2 separate regions of the Mus musculus genome follow, and region 1 is reported to be linked to region 2. The links are microRNA targets in miRTarBase. Many come from high-throughput screens and were not tested one by one. Region 2 holds a microRNA gene; the other region holds the end of a gene's coding sequence.

What was found. Region 2 holds the annotated microRNA mmu-miR-29b-1-5p (GCUGGUUUCAUAUGGUGGUUUA, at 4,633-4,654, shown strand). A microRNA usually pairs through its seed, bases 2 to 8, with sites in the 3' UTR of a target mRNA and lowers its output. Matches are read on the target gene's strand: a 7mer-m8 pairs with bases 2 to 8, a 7mer-A1 pairs with bases 2 to 7 and ends in A, and an 8mer does both.
Region 1: the mRNA of Akt1 is a reported target of mmu-miR-29b-1-5p. The part of its 3' UTR that is shown has no 7-base or 8-base seed match.

The regions. Positions count from the first base shown.
Region 1 is chr12:112,648,234-112,656,493 of GRCm38, reverse strand. Akt1 (thymoma viral proto-oncogene 1) reads left to right here. Exons shown (of 14, transcript NM_009652.3): 13 at 1,265-1,367; 14 at 1,717-2,673. The coding sequence ends at 1,796. It overlaps Siva1 (SIVA1, apoptosis-inducing factor), which reads right to left. Exons shown (of 4, transcript NM_013929.2): 4 at 7,342-7,514. The coding sequence ends at 7,457. Among named protein-coding and RNA genes, the nearest start is that of Mir6939, 7.0 kb to the left of the region's middle.
Region 2 is chr6:31,059,461-31,067,720 of GRCm38, reverse strand. It overlaps Mir29b-1 (microRNA 29b-1), which reads left to right and starts at 4,628; the gene lies at 4,628-4,698. Mir29a (microRNA 29a) reads left to right here and starts at 4,974; the gene lies at 4,974-5,061.

The sequences.
Region 1 (8,260 bases), not on the chromosome of region 2:
CTGGCCACTGTGCCCATCTCTGGATCACATACGTGTGTGCATACATATAAACACTCTCACTCTGGCCACTGTGCCCATCTCTGGATCACATGTGTGCACACATGCAAACACTCCTGTTTTTGCTGGCTCAGACACGCATGCTGGGCCCACAGCCTTGTGTAGTCACATGCCCCCACAGAGCCACAGGGTTGTGCACAGCCTTCTCGCTCGCACAGAAGAGGGTAGTATGCTGCCCTGCATACCTCGCACAGTCACCTGGCCTCTCCAGGCCCTCAATTGTGCCCCTGTTGCCTACACCTGTTGCTTGCTCCTGTCCTTTGCCTGGAGATCGCCTCATGTGCCCTATGATGAAAGCTAGCCGAGGGTGGGGGGTAATGTCTAGGTGTCTCCAACTCTAGGGCGAGCCTAATCCCATTCTGGGACGGCCCCTGCCCGTCTGGCACAGTGTAGGCCACTGCAGAGAGCAGAGCCCCTTGTACTCACCCCTAAGTGTGATTCTCTTCAGCTCCTAAGTACCCCTGGCCCAGGCTGATGAGGGACACAGCAGGTGGTCTCAACACTCTACCTTGATGTGTTGGGTGCCCTGTTACCCCCTGCCTTGAGTGTACCTTCTAGATAACACGGGGCCAGCAGCATGTGGGGGTGTGGATGGCATGCCTTTCCTGCCCACACTCAACTAGAGATCCCATGAAGTCCGCATTGCCCTCACACCAGATTTGGGAGGGATGGCAATTGAGGGTCCTTGCCTGTGAGACCCAAAAGGATGTTAGCAGCCTCCAGTGCATACACCACTCTGCAGCTTATCTTCTTCATGGGCTGTCAGTGAGGCAGGCGAGCTCACCTGAAGACTGCTTTGAGTCCTGCCACAGCTGTGGTGGTGCCACTGTGTGCCTTTAGTCCCAGCACCTGGGAGGCAGGAGCAGGTGGATCTCTGAGTTTGAGGCCAGCCTGGTTTACAGAGGTAGTTCCTAGGGCTACACAGAACCCCAGTTTCAAAAAATGGAAAGGGAAGAAAAAAAAAAAAACTCAGAAGGGAAATGACAACCAGAGAACGGAGTTCCCACTGCCTGGAGGTGGGCAGTCACTACCCTCTCGTCACTTTGGGCATCTCTGGGCTTGCTCTCCCCTGCCTACACTGCCCTACCCAGTTCCATCTCCTAGAGCTGTTCCCTAGTGCTAGTGCCCACCCGATAAGGTCAGTATTGCCCAGAGAGGATGGAGGGATTGGAACCCAGTAGTAACCAGGCCTTCTGTTGCTCCTCAGCTGAGCCCACCTTTCAAGCCCCAGGTCACCTCTGAGACTGACACCAGGTATTTCGATGAGGAGTTCACAGCTCAGATGATCACCATCACGCCGCCTGATCAAGGTGAGGCCACCCCACTCCATGGCCCCTCAGTGTCTGGCTTGCACTCCTGCTTTTTTTGGGGGGGAACTGGAGTTAACAGGTGGTTGTGAGTAGCCACGTGGGCACTGGAACTGAACCCGGGTCCTCTACCAGAGCAGCCAGTGCTCTTAACCACTAAGCTCTCTCTCAGCCCCAAAACTAAAAGAATCAAACAAACCCTTTGGAGGGTGGTAGCAGCTTGGCGGGGAGGGAGGGAGTGTTCTGAGGGCCAGAGTCACTGCCCCCTCACAGGGCCCCCTTGTATCCTCTGGCATGTGTCAGGTGGGCGGGCTGTTTCTAGAGATGGTCTGAGCCCTCCTGTGGCCCACAGATGACAGCATGGAGTGTGTGGACAGTGAGCGGAGGCCGCACTTCCCCCAGTTCTCCTACTCAGCCAGTGGCACAGCCTGAGGCCTGGGGCAGCGGCTGGCAGCTCCACGCTCCTCTGCATTGCCGAGTCCAGAAGCCCCGCATGGATCATCTGAACCTGATGTTTTGTTTCTCGGATGCGCTGGGGAGGAACCTTGCCAGCCTCCAGGACCAGGGGAGGATGTTTCTACTGTGGGCAGCAGCCTACCTCCCAGCCAGGTCAGGAGGAAAACTATCCTGGGGTTTTTCTTAATTTATTTCATCCAGTTTGAGACCACACATGTGGCCTCAGTGCCCAGAACAATTAGATTCATGTAGAAAACTATTAAGGACTGACGCGACCATGTGCAATGTGGGCTCATGGGTCTGGGTGGGTCCCGTCACTGCCCCCATTGGCCTGTCCACCCTGGCCGCCACCTGTCTCTAGGGTCCAGGGCCAAAGTCCAGCAAGAAGGCACCAGAAGCACCCCCCTGTGGTATGCTAACTGGCCCTCTCCCTCTGGGCGGGGAGAGGTCACAGCTGCTTCAGCCCTAGGGCTGGATGGGATGGCCAGGGCTCAAGTGAGGTTGACAGAGGAACAAGAATCCAGTTTGTTGCTGTGTCCCATGCTGTTCAGAGACATTTAGGGGATTTTAATCTTGGTGACAGGAGAGCCCCTGCCCTCCCGCACCCGCTCCCGCGTGGTGGCTCTTAGCGGGTACCCTGGGAGCGCCTGCCTCACGTGAGCCCTTCTCCTAGCACTTGTCCTTTTAGATGCTTTCCCTCTCCCGCTGTCCGTCACCCTGGCCTGTCCCCTCCCGGCCAGACGCTGGCCATTGCTGCACCATGTCGTTTTTTACAACATTCAGCTTCAGCATTTTTACTATTATAATAAGAAACTGTCCCTCCAAATTCAATAAAAATTGCTTTTCAAGCTTGTGGTTTGCTTTCTGGTGTGGAGCGTCACAGCCTTGTTAGTGGGTGGGAGGTGAAGGGGTGTGGCTGGGGTCACATCAGGGTGGGTCCTGGGAACTGGTCCCTGAGGCTCCAGGGGATGTCGTCCTCATGGCAGGACACTCCTGACAGAAGTGGGAGGATCTTGACTGTCTCTGGAGTCTACTCTTGCAGTGACCCTCCCTGGCCATCTAAGACACCTGCCAGCCCCAGCTGTCGTGTGTCTGGCAGAGCAATAAGCCAGGCCCTGATACCAGGAAGGATAATGCGCTGGCGATACAGTTCAAAAAGGCTCAGGAGGCTTTGGTTGAGGTGACATAGCACATCTGTGACTGAACAGAACTGGGGACTGTTCTGGGTCTGGACAGAGGTGACAGGAACCAAGGTCACTCTAGAGTGTCTGCGATCCTGAGTCCAAGCCGCCACCAAGATATACTGAGTATGTTGCTGGTGACACCTGGTGACTACTGGTGGAACTGCAGCAAGCAACAGCAACTGCTCAGCAAAACATTTAGAGGCCTCCAGCCAGATGGCCTCCCCTAAGGCATGGACTACACATATACAGAGCCTAGTGGCTGGTGGCCTTGCTGGGATGGTGTCTGACTCCTGCAAAGTTAGGGTGGGTGATGATCTGGACCTCTGGAAAATAAGAATATCCACTTCTATAACAGCCAAAGATTTTCTCTAGATGACCACAAGCCCTCTGGAACCGTACACAGCATTGCCTACTTTGGGTTTGTTTGTTTGTTTGTTTAGAGACAGGGTTTCTCTGAATAGCCCTGGCTGTCCTGGAACTCACTTTGTAGACCAGGCTGGCCTCGAACTCAGAAATCTGCCTGCCTCTGCCTCCCAAGTGCTAGGATTAAAGGCGTGCGCCACCACTGCCCAGCACTTACTGACTTTGAAGTAAGATTTATAGACAACACCGGCTGGGTAAACACCTTTAGTCCTAGCACTTGAGTTCAAGGCCAGCAAGGTCAATGTAGCAAGATCCAGTCAGGAGGGAAGAGAGGGAGGGAAGGAGGAAGGAAGGAAATAAGGACTGTAGTGCTTTCTGTGGCCCTCAGACTTAGCACTAAATCTTACCTAAAGTGGCTGAAACGTAGAAACAAACACAGCTAAAGCCAGGGCTGGGCCGGCTACAGGCTGCTCTTTCCACAAGACCCCTCAGGTATGTGTCTCTAGTACAGAGGAGGGAGCCCTGAAGTTGTGCCCTCAACACAGAGGTGGGCAAAGCTCTCTTCCTGAGCCCACTGTTACTCATGAAAGCTGCCCAACATGATCATTGTAGGTGAGAGCGGACATCTAGGGAATGCTCTTGGGAAGTGGTACCCTCTCCCCGAAGACAGGCCTGGCCTAGCCTGAACCACCAGAGCAGATAGGGGATAGACCCTGTGGCCATGGTAGGGTCTGGTAAGCTTAAATGAGGTAAGTAATTCATAAGGCAGGAAGTAGAATGGTGCTTGCTAGGGTGGAGATCGGTGGGAATGAGGTGTGTAGCCACTTGATGACTATAGTTTCCATTTAGGGAAATGACCTACACTAAGGCCAAGAAAGGAGGGAGCAAAGTTTACTATTTGTCTTATGGGAACCGAGTTGAAACAAGACCTTTTGAGTTCTGTTCTAGGATATAGTTAAGTGTTTGTAGTATAGCACTAGAGAGATGTGAGCAAACACCTATTCACCCCAGCTAAGGAACCAATGACAGCAGAGTACAGATACCACCAAAGCCCGACCTGGAGGACCAGTGAGTTTGACAGTGGCATATGAGAATATAGGTTGTTTACAGGAACAGAGATGACTCAGAAGACAGCTGCATTGCCAAGGCATGGGTGACAGCTCACAAAAGCATACCCCAAAACAAACTACAGGCAGCTGAACAGGCTAGAAAGTGATCTGAGCCTCGAGGCAGCTCAGCTGATCTGAGAACGTTTGGGAGGGGAAGCCCTAGTGAATGTGGTCAGTTTCAGGGACTTCCTAAAGCCCTCAAGTTTGCTTGCTGAGCTTAAGGAGCTTCCCTGCAGGAGTGTTCTACCATGCCCCACCCTCACCATCCTGTGTCTTAAAGAGCTCTCCAAGATGGAAAACTGCTACGCAACAGTAATGGTGACAATGGCTTTGTCAGGCATGGCTTTCACCACAAAGGAGAGGCCAGGCAGTCTGCATTAGGAGAGGGAGGCCTACCTACGGAGCATGAAGATGGTGGTGAGGATCCTGCCCATATCCCTTCTTTTTTGTTTGTTTTGTTTTGTTTTTTTCGAGACAGGGTTTCTCTGTGTAGCCCTGGCTGTCCTGGAACTCACTTTGTAGACCAGGCTGGCCTCGAACTCAGAAATCTGCCTGCCTCTGCCTCCCAAGTGTACCAAAGTGTATTAAAGGCGTGTACCACCACCGCCCGGCTTCCATATCCCTTCTTTATTGGGAATGGGGACTGCTTCTTGTTCCCTCCCTTGCTCTCAACAACGTGATTAATTAACACCATCAAGGATGCTTTGATCCACTGGCAATCTGCTGTGCAAACTTTGGCTATCCTAGCTCTCATCCCCCAGTCTTCTCGATCCTTTTCACAAGCTCTCTCAATCTCCTCCCACACCACAGGTGGATGCTCAGCAGGCAGGGTTCTCAGCAGAACCTGGGTTCATCTCATCCCCTCTGGGGTTATCATCTGACGCTGGGTGCTGTCCAATATCTAAGTACTTTGTTCTTTTTTTAAAGTTGGCTAGGGACCGGGGCATCTGTTGGCAAAATGCTTGCCATGTAAGCATGCCCCAAGTTTGGCCCCCACAATTGTATTTACAAAGCACAGCGGTGGCATTGGTTTACACTCCTAATGCTAGGGAGGCCGACGCGGGGCGGGGGGCCTGAGGCTTGCTGTCCACAGTTTAACTTAATCCGTGAGCTCCAGGCCAAATGGGGCCTAGCCTCAAAAGCCAAACCACCCACAAACCAAATAAAACCCAAACAACACCAAGTAGATTGCTGGCTCCACACATGCAAACTCAGGCATGCACCCCACACTGACATGCACACTCAAATACACTCCCCGCTACCTCATGGCTGGATGCTGGGCAGATTACTACAAGTCTGTGACATGTAAGATGTCATTTGAAGCTACGTCACAGCTCTCAGGAATCTGCATGGCAGCTGGAAGGAATAACAAGCATCCATCTGTATTCTCTATGGTGGATCAGAAAAGCCTACAGGGCTGTGCAGTAAGGACTAGGATGCTTCTGAGCCCAACCCAGAGAGACATAAACGAACATACAAACACCCAGAGGAAGGGCCTCCAGCCAAGAAGGGAGCCAAGAAGGTCTAAGGTGAAAGAAAGCATGTTGAGCATGCTGGGAGGTAGACTGAACCCCCAGCGGGGCAGGAAGCAGGAGAGGTAAAGTCTGGTGTTTATGAGAGAGGGCAGCCTGAAGGTGTTGGGGACTGGGCAATGATTCCCACTGGTGACAGAGATGGGCTAGCTACAGCAGAAGCTCATAGTACAAAGACTCTAGGCCAGGATAAAACAGCACCAGAAGCCATGGGATGGGTGTGGGGTACGGTCAGGGTTTGCTTTGGCCACCAACAGCCAGCTCAAGTGGCTTAGTGGCTTCAAGCCAGCTAATCGAGTCAGGTGTGGTGGCGCACGCCTTTAGTTCCAAAACTCAGGAGGCAGAGGCAGGTGGATCTCTGAGTTCAAGGACAGCCAGGGCTACACAGTGAGCCCTTGCCACAAAGAAAATTAAATAGACAGACAAATAGACAGACTCCAGTTAGGATCCCCAGATTCCATTTTCAGAGCCGCAGTCGCTGGCCTATCTGGGTGCCCTGCCCCGCCCCACCCCCAGCAAGGCTACAGCAGCTAACTGCTACCTTGGGCCCTAATGGGCCCAGCTCCTGGTCACTACCTACAGACCACCAGCTTCCACACTTAAAACCAGCCAGAGTCCCATTATCCACAGCAATAAGGGAACTTCCCAGGTGCGTAAGGCCTTTCCCCACCTCAGCCCTCTCTAGCCTCCTGCTCACGTAGGGCCTCTGGGCCAACTTTTCAGTAGTATAGGGAAACTTGAACCAACCCCATCTAGGACAGCACCTCCTCGATATGTATGGGAACTAACCGTAGTTGTTCTTAGAGATCAGGACAAGGAGACCTCTGCCCTATCTACCCAGCCAACCACTTGTAAGTAGGAGACCCAGGTGGCTGCAGTGACTGGCCCACCATTATCTTCCAGGCCATGTTACCTCCTGTGAACTCCTTAGAGCCCTGCATAAACTACCTCTGAAGATATGGTGAGGACTGTCACAACCACACAGGACATTCCACAGGGCCAAACCCCTGGAGGACAAGGGCTCATTAAATCACCTGGAACCCAGCAGTGTAGGTATTGATGGCTGCCTATGTGACTGACAGTGGCAATTCAGTGCCTGAGGTTGTCTAGCACGCAGGTGACCATTCTGCAGTCTGACTCCTGGAGTCCAGCTGCTTCCTCTTACAGCTGAGGGAGGACAGGAAGGAACTTGCTGGGTCTGGCTTGCCTGTTAGATGTGGGTAATAAGCAGGGGTCTCAATGCCAAGACAGCTGAGCTGCACGCTGCTGCGAGGGCTTGCCCCTGCAGCCGTCACTGCCACCCTAAGAACGGTTAACAGATGGAAGGGAGGGAGTCCTTGTGCAAATATAAAGAGGTTTATTCACTTGTTACTGGGTATAAAACATAACATATAAAAAGCCACCTTCTCTCTCTTTAGTGTGAACATCTTGTGCTGTCTGTGGCCACCTCAGGCTTCAAACATAGCACAGCTGGTGCACAGTGTCTTCTCACCATCGTCGGCATAGCTGCACAGTTGGTGGGAGAGAGAGAAGATACCTAAGTAGCTGAATGCATCCCCTCTCACTGAGGCCCTAATCGCATCACACATCAGAATGGGAACTTGTCTGAAGACAGACTCAGGTGATAGGCATTTCAGGGACAGTTTGGGGACACCACTGTCTCTGGAAGGAGGCCTAGCATGCAAACATCCTGTGGGTCTTGCATCTTGGTTCCAGGCCTTTGTGGTTTACCAGACGGGTGAGATGTCATAAGAGACACACAGGAGTGACATGAAGACATAGCAACAAGAGGGCCACTGACACAAACCTGAGGACCTATAGCAGTCACCACAAGCCTGGAGGCAGCCTGGGAAACTCTCCCTCCCACCTTAGCATGAATCAGCCCTAAGGTTCCTGAGACTTCTCCCCAGAGTACCCCTGCAAGCACTCCTGATCTCTCCAAACCACTGAAGAGTACTCTGTTGGCGAGGATTTGCCATATGAAGTGTGGTTTTCCATCTGACGCATTAGCTTTAGAGAATGTTGGGGCTGAGCTTATCCGGATCCACTGTACTGATCCCATACTCATTTGGTGGAACAAGTCCCTACAGTGTGGAACAAAGGGACAGGGCTCTACACTGTCCACCCACTCACTGAGCACTTCTAAGGAGCTGACTCATCTGGCTGCAGCCAATGGGTAAGCAGCATCCATTCCATTCTGCTAATACACAGTTAACACACAGGGGTAGGCATGACCTGAATGTACATACACC
Region 2 (8,260 bases):
GGAAATTACGTTGAAGGGCGTGAACTACAAGAGGAATGGACTTTGGACATTGTGAGAGTAGTGGATAGAATGGAGGGTTGTCGTGTTAAGTCAAACAAGCCAGACTCAGGACAACTTGTACTGCATGTTCCCTGCCATATAAGGAATCTCAAGTGAAAAGCAAAACTCAACAGTGGGATGTGGTAGTGTACATCTTTAAGCCCAGCCACTGGGGAAGCTGAGGCAGGTGGATCTTGTGCATTGTAGGTCAGTTTGGTCTCCAGAGCCAAGTTCCAGGTCAGCTAGGAGTCCACAGGGAAACCCTGTCTGGGCTATCCAAAACAAGCAAGCAAACCAAGATCCAATGCACACATTTACACAGGAGACACAGAACGAGAAAGGGAGCGTTTGGGAAGGGGATGTGGAAGGGGGAGGGGTGGGTGGTGAGCACTGGCCACATACTCATTACTTGTGTGGAGATGGCATGATGAAGCCTGACATTTGGATAATGAAACATGGTAATAGTAAAAAGAAAATGGCACTTGGCCCTCATGTGGTCTGCAGATAGTATTCTTTTCCAAGCTGACCCGCTCACAGACCTGGCCCACACCATCCTGGTTCGAGGATCAGCTTTGAGGCCTCTGCTGTTCCAGGCTCCCTGAGGGGCATTGCAGTCATTAACTTGGACATCGCAGTGGTTAGAATCTTGACTGCTGAGTCACTGGGCTTCTCTTTGTTGAGTTGTTAAATCTCTTGTAAACCATCCTGTGTGGGCCTGCTGGGACAGCATTCCCAGTTTGTTAACCTGAGTGATCAATATTTTGGAAATGGCACCGCCTACGCCCTTGGCTTCTTGTCTGATGAAAGGTACCTCTGGCTTAAAGTTAGACCACATAGGAAAGAGTAGAATGATGTAGTTTGAGTTCCATAATTGCCCTCTGCCTGGCTGTAGAGTGAGCAAAAAGGATTGTTCTCAAAGACAAGTGTAATGTCCGCCCTCTGTGGGCCTTCTGCAGCCTGCATTGCTAAAGCCTTAGGGCTTACCAATTCCCCTTGAAAATAGACCTTCTCCTACCCTGTGCAAGACACCTTCATTCTTGCTCTGGTTGGATCTACAGGTTTATAGCATGCTGCAGCTCCTACACCAGCTTGCACAGTACACCTCGCTGCTGTGCCAAGTGGAAGGCCAAGGGCCGTGCTCCTTAGTCATAACCACCCCAGTGTCGCCAAATGCAGGTAGCCAATCCACAGCAGTGCCTGCGGAAGGAAGTAATAAATGTCTCTCACTGGACAGCAGAGAGAAGGGACCTTTTGAAAGTGTCTGAGTAGAGAACCCCACGTCCGTGGGATACACCCTGAGGTTCGTGTGTCACCGAAATACCACATACTGCTCCTCTCACGAAGGCTCTCTGCAGCGTGTCTGTCCCTGGAAAATGCTTGTAGCAGGTTGTCTTTGTGGCCCTGTAGAAGTTGAGGTGCATGCTTGCAAATCACCCTTAAAGAGGTCTTGCTGTATTTTGTCCACGGTGAGTCTCCAGTGAGTTTTTAAGTGACCATCGGAGTTTGATAGCCACTCTTACACACCCAGCTGCCAGTTCACAACCAGGGAAGACCTACAGAAACCTGTGCTCACCAGCGACAGCACAGGTCCCGCGTGGAGGCCCTTGAATGGAGAAGTAATCAGAATATATTTGCAGGTGCTCATTCAAGTGTGCGGAGATGGGAGGCACAAGGCAAAGGTATCTTTTTTTGACACATCCGTGTATGCCTCTCACTTGTGAGCTGGACCTCTTAGCTGCATCCCTCTACTAAAATGCCAAAGGAAAGTTCCGTATTGCTCGTTCGATCATCTCATGTACTACCTGATTTAACCCTTACAAAGCTCGGCTCTTCTGGGTACGGCTTCCAGATGTGTGAGCACAGCTACTGCAGTGACACGTGTGGCCTGGCCCAGACACACCGGTTAGGCCTGCCGAGTCCTGGTGGCCCTAACGTTTTGAAGCTGTGTTCCTCAAGGGGTGCTGGTTCAGGATGTGATAGTTCTTGTGAAATCTCCAAGCCCCGAGGGAAGTTATCTTAATCCAGTTTGCTCAACACAAGAACAGACTGGCTTCTCACGTCACTGGGAGCAATACGCATCTACTGCAGGGCCTTTCCACACAGAGCCCTGCTGTGGGTTACTGACTCAGACCAGGCCCCGATTTCCCTATCAGATTTGACAGAAGTGCACAGGAAGGGCAGTGCGTTGAAGAGCAGCATGAAGCATGCAGGCTGGGTTGTGAAGCAGGCCCACATTTTCATGGCTGGTGAGCTGAGAGCTGCTTAGGGGTCTATCCTTGGAAGATAACTGTTTCTACTCATAGGGTGAAGAGTCTGCCAGCCCAGCGTGTGATCTGTGTATTGTAAGGTTTCTTATTTTTGTCCTTTCAGGAGTTGTAATACTGCAGAGTTGTTGCTAGTTAAAAAATAACAGTAACCCAGCCTACAGAAACAATAGTTCTTTTATGCCCTAGCCCCAGACTAAAGGGTAATGAGGTTGTGTGTCCATTAAAGGGAGAAGGGAAGCACGGGCACACTTGTGAGTGAAGCTGTTCCTCTTGGGAGGGCTGTGCTTGTAGCTGAGGGCCATGGAAGGCCCCAGAGTCCGCACTTGTATGCATGTCCTGAGGGAAGAGGGCCCTGGCTTGTCCACCCCTCTGCCAGCCAATAATAGAGAGTTTCTTTGTTAACTTCAAGACTATTCTCATGGTGAGCCTGTTCCTAGGGAGCTGGGACTTGCTGAAATTACATGAAAACTGGGATTCAGACTGAAGAGCTCTGTGTGTACATGTATGCATGAATGTGTGCTTGTTCATGCATGCATGTTTTTATCATATGTGTGCACATGTGTATGGGTGCCCACCGAAGCCAAAGAGGGCATCACATCCCCTTCGGCTGGAGTTGTAAGCCAGCCTGTGTGCTGGGAACTGAACTCAGAAAAGTGCTCTTAATGACCGAGCTCATTCTCCAGCCCCCAATGGTTTACATATTCTAGACGTAGGGCCTTTCAGGCCTACCTTTAGTGAACATTTTCTTTCGGTTTGGTGCTGTTTTTATTTTATTTTATTTTATTTTATTTATTTATTTATTTTGAGAAAGAAAGGTTTTCTTAAACTAGTCAAAGGTTTATTTCTTTCATTTAAAAAATATTTAGGTATGTTTTATTATTTTTTGAAATAGATTCCCAGTCTGTAGCCTGGCACCTCGTGGTGCTGGACCAAGGAGGGGTCCCGCAGCCTTGATGAGATCTGAGTGTAAAAAGCAAAGCTATAAGACTGTCTTTTGAGAAAGTAGGTGAAGTCCCATGCACACTGGCTACTTCACAGTCCCAGGGAATTGTTTGTTTCCTCGGGTAGGACAGCTTACTGTAATTATAAAGAAAAATGTTCTCCTTTTTTTTTTTTAATTTTTTATCTCAGTATTTCTTAAACAGTGCTGTGCCCCAGCAGCTGAGAGCAGAGCACCTGGCTGATCTTCTCTTTGCTTTCAAACAATTCAGTAAGAACCACATATGCCAGGGATAGGTAATAATGTAGATTATATATCTAAAGCAAAAAACGCTCAGTTGTTAATTCAGAAGGCACAAATACAGGAATTTGTTTGATTATCATTGAAAGTTAATGCCATGTAGTGAGCCCTGAAATTACATGGACTAAGCCGGCTGTAGTCACGTACTTAGGAGAATGTGTGTGTGTAACAGCAATTAAAAAGAGGCCATGGATTTGAGAATGAGCAGGAAGGGATAAAGGGGGAGAAAATGTTAATAATCATTTTAATGTCAGTACATTTGAAAAAAATATTTTAAAAAGAAATTTAACATACAACTTTTTAAAAAGGTATTCTTAAAAAGGACATTAACATTCTAATATCTGAAATGTTTCTAAATAGTTTTTTTTTTTTTTAAGGCCGTGGATGTGTAGTTATTGGAGTCCCTGACACATTCAAAAGAGTGACGGCAAACGGCCTGGCCTAGCAAGACCACATGTCAAGAGCTAATGGAAGGGAGACAAGAAAGAAGCCAGAAAGTCTCAGCACTCAGGAAGCAGAAGCAGGGCCTCTCTGAGTTACGAGGACAGCCAGGGCTACATAGTGAGACCCTGTTTAAAACTGTAATAGTAGTAGCAGTAGCAGCAGTACTGATGATAGTGATAATCTGTCAGATACCGAAGATTCAAAGCTTCACTTCTGGAGGAGAATTGAGTTAGCAAAAGACCTGAACTCACTACTGCAGTCTGGCAAAAGGGGGCAGGGTCTCATTAGCATCAGTGTGTTGCTTTGCCTTTGAGAGGATCCCAAATTGTGCTCACTTGTCGACTCTAACAGATCGATCTGGAAGTAAAAAGTGTCACGCTTATCAAAAGTGTGCTGAGCTCTGCCACGCTGCACCGTGAATGTGTAAGCCTCGTGCTCACTGTCCCACGTCTGCTCTCGGGTGAGGGCTCAGTTACCATTTGGAGGGAAGAATGCCATGAGTGACCGACATGTCACACCCCCACCCCCACCTGCTAGATGAGGTCAGCATAGGATCGCCTGAAATTAGGAACTATTGCACGGACTTCACCTTCCCTCTCCGTAGGAAGGCCACAAAAACAGACGACAAAGCTTCTTCAGGAAGCTGGTTTCATATGGTGGTTTAGATTTAAATAGTGATTGTCTAGCACCATTTGAAATCAGTGTTCTTGGTGGAGAACTACTTCGCTGCCGACCGCACAAAGAAATGAGTGTACAGCCCTGAAGTAAGTGTCCAGTGTCTAAAACAGGCTACCAGAGCCTGCCCTCGCCCACCCTGCTTACCTCTGTGTTATGGATAGCTGATTAGTCAACCACCGTTAGAATTGCATACTTGTTCATGTAATAAGCCTTCTCTGGAAGTGGACTCCACCATGCTCGGATGAAGACCTACATATACGACAGATTGAAGGCCTGGGCCTTCCCAGTGCACATGACCTCTTGTGACCCCTTAGAGGATGACTGATTTCTTTTGGTGTTCAGAGTCAATAGAATTTTCTAGCACCATCTGAAATCGGTTATAATGATTGGGGAAGAGCACCGTTCAGCTGACTACGTTATTGCTGACGTTGGAGCCACAGGTAAGAATTAAGAAACAAATACCAAAACATGCTAAGGTACATTTTCTTCCTATCTTAAACTTGACTTTCATTAACACGTGCCCCAGCAACAGCATGGTTAACTATTCACATAGTGATGGTGGGTGTGTTTTAGAAAGTGTGTATGGGTTGCAGATTTGACGGTAACTAGAGGATAAAGGGCCAAACCAATGACTGACCAGTCAATGTGAGAGGAGCAGGGGATATTTACTTCTATAAGGTTCTAACAGCTCACATAGGGATAGTCACCTAGCCTGCCTGACCACTGGCCATTGCATGGTTAGCTGTCCAGACCAGGAGAGCTATAAGTTAGATGTAACAGATGGTTCAGATAACTGGACCTGTGTCTGGGACTCAAGTAATAGGCATAAAAATAAGTGTGACAAACTCATGTCTGGTAGATGTGTCCAACCATTTACATTGCAATGCGATGTTGTCATCAACAAAGTTAACATTAGAGAATACAATGGGATTGCAAAAGATAATTTCGTGGGTTTTAAGTACACTTGTGATGTGTTGGACAGCATTCATAGCTATCCTGAGGGGAAGGGGGTGGGGTGGGGTGGCATGGGCCACAGGTTGGACACACCTAGCCTGTGGTATTTGTAGCCTTTCCAAGTGGTGCTTAAGGCTACATTTCCTCCTGGTTGAACTTTAACTAGACTTATAAATAAGGAAAATCAGATGAATCATACAAATGACTAAGCTTTGGCTAGATCTAAAAGGTTAGGCGAGATAGATTGTACAGTTTTTCCTTGGTAAACAAAACGGAACTCCTGCAGTAGACCTCGCTGCCCAGAACCCCAAATCCAAGTTTTCTGTGCTTGTGTTTCAGAATGAAAAGGCAAGCGGGCTGTTAGTATTGCTGAAGCGCTGCGTGTGTAAGTAATTCCTAACCCTGCTGCATCCCGACCTTCGTTCATAGCTCGTTCCTGTTGAGCCGAATGGGATCGCGTGTAGCCTCAGTTACTCCCGCATTACGCATTGTCCAAGTCAGCATCACGGCCTCGTAAAGCAGAAGAATGCGTTTGCTGCTGAGACTGAACAGCTTGGGTTGAACTGAAATGAAGAGGGAGTATACCACAGATACAGAATAGGAACAAAGTGACACAGCTACAGAAAACCCGAAGTGGAGCGTTTGAACCATTTTAGAGTATATAACACAAAGGCTCTTGAGCAAAGCTTTCATGGAGTTGTACAGATCAGCAAGGTCTAGTTCTCCTCACCTCGAAAGAAAACCTGAATCCAGGCATTCCTTACTCATTATGTACTTCCTGTCTCTGAGTGAAATCTGTTCTCTGTAGATTTACATGTTCTGAACATTTCACAGAATCACACCCTCTGTGAAATTCTCCATCCAGCTTAGTTCACTTAATGGGACGTTTTCATGGTTCTCTCACGGTGCGTTCATCCAAACTCGGTTCCCTTTTCATGACTAAATAATATTTCACTGTGTGGGCATGCCACATCTTGCTTATATACTTACCAGTTTGGCATTTAAATTGTCCTGTTCTGTTTTGTTTTTAAGTTTAATCTTCTAATATGATTCATGTGTTATATATCCACAGACTGCACTGGATTAGCACTGAGCCCTATAGCAATAAGTAGCTGTCCACTGCCGCACCTATATTTTCCCATTAGCTGTATCCTCAACTTTTATCTGTGTCTTCTGACTGCCTACATTTAAAGCGTTGCGCTGCTCTTCTTTCATTCTGACTTTCTTCCCTGCTCCCTCCCCCATGTGAGGATTTAACTTTAACAACCCTCATTCCCCCTTAAAGCAGCCGTTCCATTGACCCTCACAATCCAATTACAGCCCAGGTGAAGTCAAGGACTAGTGAACAACCCGGCCGCAAAAGGCCAGGTAGACAGCTGTCATGAAGAACCTGAGGTGCACATGAGTACACACATGCACATAGAAGAACTAGTGTTGGTAATGGGGAATATTGGTAATATAGAGAGGGATTTTTTTGTAGCCCACCCATACAGATTCACATTCCTTCAGAAACCTTATTAAATTCTGAGATGAGTAACTATCATTTTAAACGTTGTTTCCCTGAACTTTCCCATGCACTCCTCATAGCGACTGTGGAGCTTTCAGCTTCCCTCCCAGCGTGCTGGGACAGGCTTTGGTTTCTCGGAGCCCAGCTTCCTCCCACACTGGTCTGGGTGAGTGCCTTTCTCAGCTCTCTGGTTCCCTTGCTTCCTTCCTGGGCTAAATACATTCCAGGTCCTCATCTCTTTAATCCTCTCAGCCAGCTCCTGTCTGAGAGTCTGTCAGCCAGCTCCTGTCTGAGAGTCTGTCAGCCAGCTCCTGTCTGAGAGTCTGTATATGTGTTCGTTCTGTGTGTGTGTGTGTTAAAGAAGCACACACATCCTTCGGTAGTCATCTGGGGAAGACTGGTGGAACTTTTTTGGGGGGGCCGGGGGGCAGGGTACAATTTTTGGTATGGAATGTCTGGTTAGAAAAAGAAAATCCTTCAGACTTTCATTCTCTAGTATGCAGGATTGAAGTAGAATGCAGAGCTAATCAATAGGCCCTTTGCTCTGGAAGTAGGAGACTTGGTTAACCCTGTAGTCTGTGTTCTTCAGTGGTTGGTCCTGGGCCTTGGGAGAGCTGTCTTCACTCCCTGGGCAGGGCATTTGACATTGCTGTCATTGTGGACAACAAAGTCCCTGCCTTCTTAATCCTCTGGCCTTCACCTTTGCCACTCACCGCATGGCTTGCCTTACCGCTCCCTGTCTCCTTTCTGTCTCTTTGTTCTGCTTTCTGGAAGAACTCCCACCATGTCTTCTAAACATCACAGTGAGTGAGCATGTCTGCTAATGGACTTCAGTATCTGAAAGGTAGGTCTTGAATGCCATTCTTCCCTGGGGTGAGGATTCACAGCTGTTTCAGGCTGTTGATTTCTTACCTGTGTTTGAGTTTTCTCTCCCCTGCCGTTGTCTTCAGGTGCTTTGCGTATTCAGGCTTTTGTGTTGTGAGTTTACTTGCGTCTTTGACTCTGTTCATGTTAGAGACAGGACTAGAAAGGTCTCTAAGCACTGACGGGAGTTATCACAGCACGTATGTAGGTAGAGCAACGATCCTCTCACACAAACCAGAGGACCCTGTCCTTGGGACTGGAGAGGTG